Linked DNA regions of Cricetulus griseus. The protein of the gene in region 3 binds, or shares a complex with, the protein of the main gene of each other region. Links are inferred from orthologs where the notes say so. Each region holds a gene or a part of one and is shown on either strand. Other genes may lie near its edges. The genes, in order: Ccdc153, Iqcd and Drc3.

Evidence for each region.
Region 1: Drc3 (region 3) and Ccdc153 share a complex: the UniProt entries of both Homo sapiens proteins name them as parts of the nexin-dynein regulatory complex. The link is inferred for Cricetulus griseus from reciprocal best matches to the Homo sapiens genes DRC3 and DRC12.
Region 2: Drc3 (region 3) and Iqcd share a complex: the UniProt entries of both Homo sapiens proteins name them as parts of the nexin-dynein regulatory complex. The link is inferred for Cricetulus griseus from reciprocal best matches to the Homo sapiens genes DRC3 and DRC10.

Annotation. Positions count from the first base shown.
Region 1 is NC_048597.1:155,926,691-155,930,444, reverse strand, and holds the start of Ccdc153 (coiled-coil domain-containing protein 153), read right to left. Parts: upstream 2,542-3,754; 5' UTR 1,790-2,541; intron 1,523-1,789; 5' UTR 1,513-1,522; coding exon 1,443-1,512; intron 1,417-1,442; exon of another isoform or gene 1,378-1,416; coding exon of another isoform or gene 1,373-1,377; intron 937-1,372; coding exon of another isoform or gene 932-936; coding exon 866-931; intron 1-865. UniProt on the Homo sapiens protein: Component of the nexin-dynein regulatory complex (N-DRC), a key regulator of ciliary/flagellar motility which maintains the alignment and integrity of the distal axoneme and regulates microtubule sliding in motile axonemes.
Region 2 is NC_048597.1:100,417,343-100,419,713, reverse strand, and holds the end of Iqcd (dynein regulatory complex protein 10), read right to left. Parts: intron 1,078-2,371; coding exon 751-1,077; 3' UTR 614-750; downstream 1-613. UniProt on the Homo sapiens protein: Component of the nexin-dynein regulatory complex (N-DRC), a key regulator of ciliary/flagellar motility which maintains the alignment and integrity of the distal axoneme and regulates microtubule sliding in motile axonemes.
Region 3 is NC_048600.1:74,482,545-74,486,238, forward strand, and holds the start of Drc3 (dynein regulatory complex subunit 3), read left to right. Parts: upstream 1-793; 5' UTR 794-1,127; intron 1,128-3,694. Other genes in the region: Tom1l2 (TOM1-like protein 2), read right to left, coding at 448-499. UniProt on the Homo sapiens protein: Component of the nexin-dynein regulatory complex (N-DRC) a key regulator of ciliary/flagellar motility which maintains the alignment and integrity of the distal axoneme and regulates microtubule sliding in motile axonemes.

The DNA.
Region 1 (3,754 bases), on a different chromosome or scaffold from region 3:
CCATGGTAGACTACTTACCTATCATGAATGAAGTTGTGATTCTATTCCCAGCTGGGGGAAGGGGTGGGAGATAGCTTCTTTCATTGATCTTCACTGCCTAGCCCTTCCTCACAATCTTGCAAATAGATTAATGGCTATCTTGGTTTAGCCCTGCACACAGTTCAAACTTTCCAGTTCCCCAAGAACCCAGAAATGCCCTATGTTCCATACATTGGGTGGCTAGTTTATTGTCAACTTGACATAAGCTAGAGCCATTAGAGAAGAGGTAGCCTCAACTGAGAAAATGCTTCCATAAGATCAGGCTGTAGGCAAGATTTTAGGGCATTTTCTTAATTAGTGACTAATGGGGAGGGCCTACCCACTGTGGATGGTGCCACCACTGAGCTGGTGGTCCTGCGTTCTATAAGAAAGCAGGCTGAGCTGGGCATTGGTGGCGCACGCCTTAATCCCAGCACTCGGGAGGCAGAGGCAGGCGGATCTCTGTGAGTCCGAGGCCAGCCTGGTCTCCAGAGCGAGTGTCAGGATAGGCTCCAAAGCTACACAGAGAAACCCTGTCTCGAAAAACCGAAAAACAAAACAAAATAAAACAACAACAACAAAAAGGGAAGCAGGCTGAGCAAGCCATGTGAAGCAAGGCAGTAAGCAGCAACCCTTCATGACCTCTGTATCAGCTCCTGCCTCCAGGATCCTGCCCTACTCGGATTCCTATCCTGACTTTCTTCAATAATAAACAGTGATTTGGAAGCTTAAGCCAAATAAACCCTTTCCTCCCCAAGTTGATTTGGTCATGGTGTTTCATCACAGCAACGATGACCCTAACTAGGACTTCTATCTCTGCCATCTCCTGAGGCTTCAAACTTCTTACCCAAGTGGTCCTGAAGCAGCTCCTTCTCCAGCAGGACCATCCTATGCTTGGCCTCAGCCTCTGCATCTGTTCTGGCAAGACAATAGTCTCAGGTTATCCTTCTCTCGGCCTCACCCCAGTGCTGCTCTGCACCTGCACTTCTTCCTTCGTGATGGAGGAAGATAGCTGGATGAGGGAGGCCCAATGGCAAATCTGACAAATTTACGGCTGAGTGGCAGAGTCTTCACCCACCATGTGCACGGTGGGTGCTCAAAATAAGGGTGAAAAATATGATGAGGGCAAAGAACTAGATGGGGCTCCAGGGGGAATTTGGGAAGGAGGCATTCTCCACTTCCTCAGCCCCATGGAATCTGGACGCAAGGATCTGCAGAGGAGGGCCAGGAAGCTTCACCCTAGCCAAGTGTGGTAGCAACGCCTGTAATCCTGTCACTATGAAGACTGGGGCAGCCTGGGTCCCATAGTGACCCTGTGTCAAAAGAACAAAAGACAAAACCAAAACAAACCCACTCCATTTGTTGCCCAGAGGGCTGGATTCCCTCCGAGGACCTTTGTGTCACAGACACGCCCTGTGACTCACCAGGACTTGATTTTTTTTTCTTCTTCTGTGCCCCAGTTTTTCTCCCCTTTCCTTTGGTTTTAGGTGGCATCCTTGCTGCCCTGGGGGAGGGAAGACCTTCTGTGTAGGTCTGCATACAGAAATGCTCTCCTGACTCCTAGAGGTAGGGGTCTTGGGGCAGTCAGAATTCTAGTCTTCCAGTGTATCTTACACTTTCTAGAAGCTTTGGTTCTTGGTCTCCTGGGAACCCCAGGCAAGGCTGGGAGGTAGAGCAATTCTATGGGCAGCAGACAGCCCTTTTAGAGAAGATAAATCTCTGGACCTGGTCCCTTCTGTCTCCCCAACATGCTTATTCTTCCCCTTCCTACCTGGAGGACCTTCTCTTGCTTGAGTGCTGTCTCCCTGGGGAATAACACTCCTTGGGAAAGATAGAGTCCCAAGCAGATTGAGCCTAGGGAGGAAGGAGCCTGGGTCCTGGGAGCCAATCCAGGCTGAAAAACTTCCCCAAGAGGCAGGACCAAGAACTGGGATGTTGGGTTTCTGGAGACTGCCTGCTGCCCAGGCAACCGGGAAACACTGTGTTCATAGGCAGGTAGAATGGGCTAAATTGACTCACACAAAGGTCCTGTGTAGGTAGATTCCCCTCCTACCCGCAAAGAAAAGGTCTTGGAGCTGAATAGCTATTATTCATGTCTACACAGGCACTGCCTATCATCTGGAGACTTTGCAGTCTAGAAATCTAGAAGCATCCAGTGTGAGAGGCTAGTGCTTTACAGATGGAGAAGAAAGGCAGGGAAAGTAGCCATTGCAGGTACTTTATATCCCGAGGTCTCATGAACACAGTGACATGATTTGCTTTAGAACTTGAGGTCTACTTCAGAAATGCTATCTGTGGCTTGTGCAGGAAACACGTGCTGGCACAGGTAGTTGAGAGTTTTCCACTTAAGAGAAATGAGAACAGAGAAGAGCTGTGGACTTGGGGATGCTGACCCAGAAAGGAGGCCACAAATTAGGCAGAGTTGCGAACTGAGCTACTTAATTTTGCTCAGCTTGGATTTCTTGGTGTATAAGTTTTGTAGTTCCCTCCTGGAGTCCAGTTGTAGAGAGGGAGGAGGGATGAGCAAAGGGGTCAAGACCATGCTGGGGAAACTCACAGAAACAGCTGACCTGAGCAAGTGGGAACACACGGACCCCAGTCTGACATCTGGGGAACCAGCATAGGACCCAACCAGGCCCCCTGAAGATAGGTGTCAGTTGGGAGGCCAGGGCAGTCTATGGGGCCTCTGGCAGTGGAACCGGTATTTATCCTAGTGCACAGACTTTGGGAGCCCATTCCCTATGGAGGGATACTCTCTCAGCCTAGATACATGGGGGAGGGCCTAGGCCTTGCCCCAAATGATGTGACAGACTTTGATGATCCCCCTGGGAAGGCTTTACCCTCCCTGGGGAGTGGACGGCAGTGGGAATGGGATGGGGGTGGGTGGGCATGGGAAGACAGGACCGAGATTGCTATGTAAAATAAGGATATATATATATATATATATTATATATATATATATATAATATATATATATATACTCAGTGGTGTGTTTCTAGGACTTCTTTCTCTCCCGCTCAACAATTGTCTCACTCTCCCTATTTCTCTGTGAGGTTACTCTGCAGACAGGGTGTTTAGAAGCCCCCAAGCTCTCTGCAGCATAGAGTTGGTTAGTGCTCCCTCTAGTGGACTTGCTTTGACCAGAGTCTCCTAAATTTTGCAGTTTAGTATTTCTTGCACAATATGGGGGAGATTCTCTTTGGGGGATGCCTTCTAGCATCTTGCATATGATTTAAAAAATTGATTGTGGGTAGAGAGTGTGATGGGGTAGCTTGCTATTGCCCCCTCCATCTGGGAGGGCTCCATCCTGGAACCGGGCCATTACTGGGCATCACAATGGCATCATACATAGAATGGAACAGTAAGCCTTCCTTCTTCCCTGTGGATTATGGGATCTACAGACTCTTTTTGGGCACTTCTGTCTATTCCAGAATTTTGGTCAACTGCATATTATCAGAAGCAAATCTGCAGAAACAGGTATAAGACGTGGGAGGAAGATCTCTCACCTGTGAAGAAGAAGCAGAAGGTCAATGAGTGTTTATTTAACCCCATGGCACTTTAGAGATCTTAGAAAAGATTTTTAATTTTAATTTTTCATTTCGCTATATGTGTGTGGGTTTGTGCATGTGAGTGCAGTACCCAAAGAGGCTGGAAGAGAGCATTGGAGCACCTAGAGTTGGCCTTACAGGCTGCTGTGGGCAGTCCATCAGTATGGTTGGTGCTAGGAACCAAAGTC
Region 2 (2,371 bases), on a different chromosome or scaffold from region 3:
GCCCCCACCATCCCCCTTGACCATCCTTTGTTTCTTTAGTTTTGTTGTTTTGTTTTGAAGTGGAGGAAGCCAAAGAGGTGGCCCATGCCTGTAAATTCAGCATTTAGAAATCAAGAGGCAGGTGGATCACCAGCTGGGGCTACAGAGGAATACTATGTCTCAAAATAAAGTTGCAGGGTGGGATGCTGCTGCACCATGGAAGAAGACACAGGGCCGGGATACTGGGATATCAGGGTGATGGGATCTTCACAATAAGGGCTTTAGGATTCTATGGATGGTTCTTAATTTATGAGATTCTAGCAACTAATACTTTTCAAAAAATCATGCAATCTAAACACCAAACCAAAAACGCTGCTGCCCTCCAGAAGGTTCATAGCAAAGGGGCAGAGCTGTGGGTGGGTGGGCAGTCCCAGGGCAGGCCAGGGCTGCCCAGTGATGATGTCTCTCCATGGTAACCACAGTATCTCTTGGGTTGGGACCAGGGCCTCATTTCTCAATGAAGATGTGGGAGGATGGGGGTCCCAAAGCTTGTACCCTCCTCAGGATGCTGCGCCCATGAGCAACACAGCCTCATCCTGGGGTAGACACGTCTGTTGAAGGGTGAGCCCTTGAGTATGGTTTAAATGTTTTGTTTTGTTTTAATTTTGGCCATCATTAAAGTCAGGATGGAAGGGCTGGGGCAGGGTGGGAGTACCATTCAGACTGGGCAGGGCGTGGTTGAGGCTGGGCAGGAGCAGGGCCAGGCAGCAGTTACTTCTTCTTGCCTTTGCCCTTGCCCTTGCCTTTCTTCTCCTTACCCTTCTCCTCTTTGCCCTTCCCCTTGCCTTTGCCCCGCTTCTTCTTCTTGGATCTGAGCATGGAGCGCACCAGGTAGCCCTTCCACACCGCCTGGATGAGCGTGGCCGCCCGCACCATGCGCACCATCTCGCGCTCCGCCTCCACCCGCTTCTTGGAGTTGATCTCGCTCTCAGCACGGATCTGGGAAAACTCCTCCACCAGCACCGCATGCCTCTCCTTTAGCTCCTCCAGCTGCAGCTTCTCTTCCTTGTGGATGCTCTCCAGATCTTCGTATTCTTCCTAGAAGAGAGGCAGGGCTGGAGGGCACAAGGATGGCCTCCGTGCTCTCCATGCGCCCCAGACAGGTAGTATGCAGATAGAGCCTGTCTGTCTGCACCTGGGCTCACTCCAGGAAGGACCCAACTGAACAGATCTCAGGAATGAAGGGAGGAACAAGGGCTGAGAGATGTGCAAGCCTAGGTGTGTGTGTGTGTGTGTGTGTGTGTGTGTGTGTGTGTGTGTGTGTGTATACAACGTTAGGCTTCCTCCTGTGTGTGTGTGTGTGTGTGTGTGTGTGTGTGTGTGTGTGTGTATACAACGTTAGGCTTCCTCCTCAATCTTTCCACCTTACTTTTTGAGGCAGAATCTTTCACTGAACCTAGAGCTTGCAGGTATCACTGGGCTGGCAAACTCCCAGGATCTGCCTCCCGACACTGTGATTACAACTGCACACTGCAGTTTTCAGCTTCTTACATGGGTGCTGGGGATGCAAACTCAGGTCCTAGTGTTTGCATAGCAAGCATCCTACTAACTGAGGTGGTCCCCCAGCCGCTGACCGTAGCTTTGAAGTCTAGCTTCTCTGCACCTTTAGGAGATTCCCTTTAAAGCTTCTGGTTCTCCAGACAATTCCAAATACTCCAAATACCAGGGAGAGTTTCTGGGATTAAGTATGAAAGCCCCCTCACAGACACATGGCTGGAGGCCTGGTCCCCCCAGCTAGGTGGCGCTGTTGAGTGGCAACTGAATCATGAAAGCGCCAGTCTTGTCAGTGGGTTAACCAGTTGATGGATTCAGTGCTGAACAGGGAGGAGGAAGCCTTCCGGGAGGAAGTAGTTCACTGGGGGGTGGACCCTTGAAAGGTATCTTCTCTTTGATCTGTGTCTCTCTCATCCACTCCCTCCTCCCCTCTGTTCAACCCTTTTCTCCTCCCTCCTTGTTTATTCAGAGTGAACATTTCTGCTGCCCTCTCTGAGACATTCCCACCTCAGGCTCAAGGCAGAGGGGTCAAGTGACCATGGATTGGACTCTGAGGACTCTGAGGACTCCAGGACTCTGAGCTCATACAAAACTTTCTTCCCTTTCTCAAGTGTTTTATCATAGTGAGAGTTGGCCCCCGAGGATGTGATGCCACTGTACCAGGACCCAGTGTGGCCTCGGGGAAGGAGAGCTGCCTCCGGTGAGGCAGCTTCACAGAGGCCCAAAGCAGCAAGCTCTGTCTTGGGTGACCCCAGGGTCCTCTCCCACTTCTGTCTCTGGCCCCTCTTGCTGCAGTTCACCAGCCTCCCCCTCTCTGTGTCTCTCTCTGTCTCTGTCT
Region 3 (3,694 bases):
CATTGAGTAGGGACGGGGATGGAAGAAAGAAGTGACATTCCACAAAGACTCTGGGAGAAAGGTGCCCTGAGAGCAGATGCGGCGAGATGCCTGGAGAAGACTGCTCGCAGTGACATCTCCCAATACGCAAGGGTAGGCAGTCCAGCATGGGCACTGCTTCTAGGGAGAGACTTGGAAAGGTTGGGCCTTGATGGGTAGGGATGCAGGGTGCCTCTCAGAATCCAAGTTGCACCTCAGGGGAGCCTCCTGGCAGGGTGAGGTAGCACCAGCGTCAGGCAAAGGCCTCGTGACAAGGATGCCCGGTCCACCTTTGAGATGACACCACTTATTGGCAGAGGCCCAACCCGCACGTGAAGTGGTATCTGTGCCGGGAGGAGGCCCCGGACCTCACCAGCCCGGCCAGCCGCTCTGTGGCTCACTCGACGCCTGCCCCACGCGCGGCCTTACCAAGACACTGCCCTACAGGGGTGCTGAACGGATTCCCCAGCAGGAACTCCATCTCTGCAGGCCTCGTTCCGGCCCGGATGCCTGTATGCCGCGGGTCTCCACTGCCCGCGCCGCGCTCGCCCTGACTGACACTTGCCCCCGCCCCACCCTCGGGAACGCCGAGCGCCTGCCTGACCTCGCCCTCTGGGTGCATCCCTATTGGGCAGCGTCTACTCAGCCAGCCTCCGATTGGACGGCACGCCACTCTCAGTGAAGTCCCACCCACCCCGCAGCGTCCGATTGGGCACCAAGCAAGCTAAGTCATTGGGGTCCCCGTCAGCCTAGTGGCACAACCCCCCTGGACCCGCCTCCAAACGAGCGGCCCTTCATTTTGATTCATTACCCTGTTAGTCAGTCTAGAGAATCCTTACTATGATTGGATAAAAGGCGTGTCAATTATCCGAGTAAAGAAAGAGTAACTAGAAGTTGCGGTGCATTGACGGTGCTGATTGGTGAGAGGTTTGTTTTCTTCAAGGCTGGTTGGTGTTAGAAGCGTTTCGCCGCCCAGAAATGCGGTCACGTGACACATCAACTTTCACCCAGGATATTTATTGCTGGACTTCCCCTTAGCGACCGAGTGGCGGTGCTTGGTTACCTAGCAACCAAGCGACGCGTCCACTTGAAGGAGGGTCCTTAGGAAGGTAAGAAGCATGAGGTTAAACTCCAGAAAGACTCCAAGAGCAGAGGTTGATTCAAATCTGTCTTGAAACTCTTCTGTAAGGACTCCCAACCTGACCCTTTCTCATTTGTAAAATGAGCGCACACGTCATTTTACACTTGTTCTGAGATTACCAGGCCTTTGGAGAAGAAAATTGAGTATAGATCCCAAAGCCCGCAAAAGCTAGTAGGAACAGGATCCATCTGCCAGTTTCCTGGACTGATTAGTTTCATAGAAAGAGAGGTACCCTTTCCTCTTGATCTGCAATAAGTTACTTCATTTGGTGCTGTATGAAGCGCTTGGGAAGGGAATACAGATACTAGGGTTCCGTATCAGTCTCTATCAGTAATTCACTGTACGACCTCCCAGCCCCACCCCCCACCCCAGGCTGGGAAGTAAGAGCACTAAGGCACCCTTTTTAATAGCTCATAGAGCTGACATGTAACACTTAGTTACATAGCAAATACAGTGGCAAATACAGTGTTTCAGGTCCAGTTGACCCAGGTTGTTGTTTCTCAGGAAAGCCTGGATTTTTTCCGCAGTGGAGAGGCTACCTGGTTGATTTGTAAGTAAAGCTTTCCACTTCTTCTCCACATCCTACCTCTGGTCTTCACCAAGGACACCATCAGGCAAGTCAACCAGCACCCACTTGTATAAATTATTGATATAATCCCCACAGGGGAGGATTCCTTGGGCCTTGGCCTGAGAAGAACAGTTGGAAACATGAGCTGTGATAATGGTTGTTCCTAGTATGCTGTTACAATAGAGTCATGATTAGAAAATTGAGTTCTACTATAGACAAGAGGTAAATCTTTGGTGAATCTACATATTGGTCAATCTAGAAAAGCTTGATGTTACAAAGATCCCTACTCTGTGTTGTTGATGTTTTACTCCTTGGCTCTTTTACTCTTTGCTCTTTTGGGGGGGCACCACCCAGCTCCCAAATAAATCACACACGGAGGCTTATTTTTACTTATAAATACCCAGCCCTTAGCTTGGCTTGTTTCTTGCCAGCTTTTCTTAAATTAGTGGGACTACCTTTTGCCTCTGGACCTTTTTCTTTTCTTGCTTCTGTATATCTTACTTTTACTCTTACTCCATGGCTGGCTGGCTGGCTGGGTGACCAGCCCCTGACATCCTCCTCTCCTTGTTCTTTCTTGCTCCTTATCCCTCTTCTCAGATTTTACCTCCTATTTATTCTCTCTGCCTGCCAGCCCCTCCTATCCTTTCTCTTGCCTTGATACTGGCCATTCAGCTCTTTATTTCACCATCAGGTTTAGACAGGCAAAGAATCACAGATTCACAGAGTTAAACAAATGCAACATAAACCAAAGTAACACACCTTAAAATAATATTCTGCAACTATGTGCTTTCATAGTTCCACACATCCACTAACTTGTCATTATTTGTAAGTAAATATTGGGTGATTTTTTAATCCATGTCAGAAACAGAAGACCTCTCTGAGTTATTCATAGCTGTTGCTGTTACCCCCAGAAATCAGGCCACATCCCTTCAGTATCCTTCCTCAAGGTTGGTTATAGATGGACTGTGATCTTGTAACTCTCACAATGTTCTCTGTCTCCCCTCTTAAGCTTCGAGCAAGCTCAGCTCCTGATACCTGGGCCAAGACAATCTTGAATTGCAACTTTACTCTCTTGCCTAGGCCTTCCACCATGCCATGGGTCATATAGACTAGGTCAGGCCAGATCACATGGTATGGAACTAAAAAAGAAAATACCACCACCACCACCACCCCCCAAAAAATGTATGAGTCAGAAACTTCCTTTGTTCTCTGAATCTGAGGGAGCTAATGGAACTGAAAGGTTTGTCTTTTCCTTCAGGGATCCTCATGGCTGCCTAGACTATGATGTCATCTCCTCCAATGCTCTCCCACTTCAGGGCTCCTCATGGATGTTTGTGGCCATGAACCTTCAACTCTCCTAGCAAAGTTCTTCTGAAGGGAAATTTATTTCCGTTTCTTTTTCTATTAAACTCCCCCCACCCCACTTTCTAACCCTACTGGACCAATCAATCACTTTATTTGGCCACAACCTTCCAAACTATATTGTCTCAAACTGGGAATGATTAGTCCTACATATAAACTAAGCACCTAGAGATGTCCCAGACCCTCCCCCCATACTCCTTCCTCCCTTCCTTCTTTGTTTGCTTGCTTTTCTTTTTCTTTTCTTTTTTTTTTTTTGAGACAGGGTCTGTGTGTGTGTGTGTGTGTGTGTGTGTGTGTGTGTAGAAGTCTGGAACACACTATGTAGACCAGGCTGACCTCAAACTCATAGAGATCTGCCTGCACCTGCCTCCCAAGTACTGAGATTAAAGGCAAGCGCCACCATTTCTCGTTAGACTCACTCCTTTTGTAATTCTTGGCCCAGCAATATAATTGTTCAGTTGCAGGCTCTGGCTGGCCCCTGCCTTCTGGAAGCCCCATTCCCTCCCTCCCCTTCTCTCTCTCCCCAAACCCTGCCCACTCAGAGAATTTTTGAACAAAGATTCCCAAAAGCCCAGTTCCCACATTCTTGGTGGCTACTGTTGCTT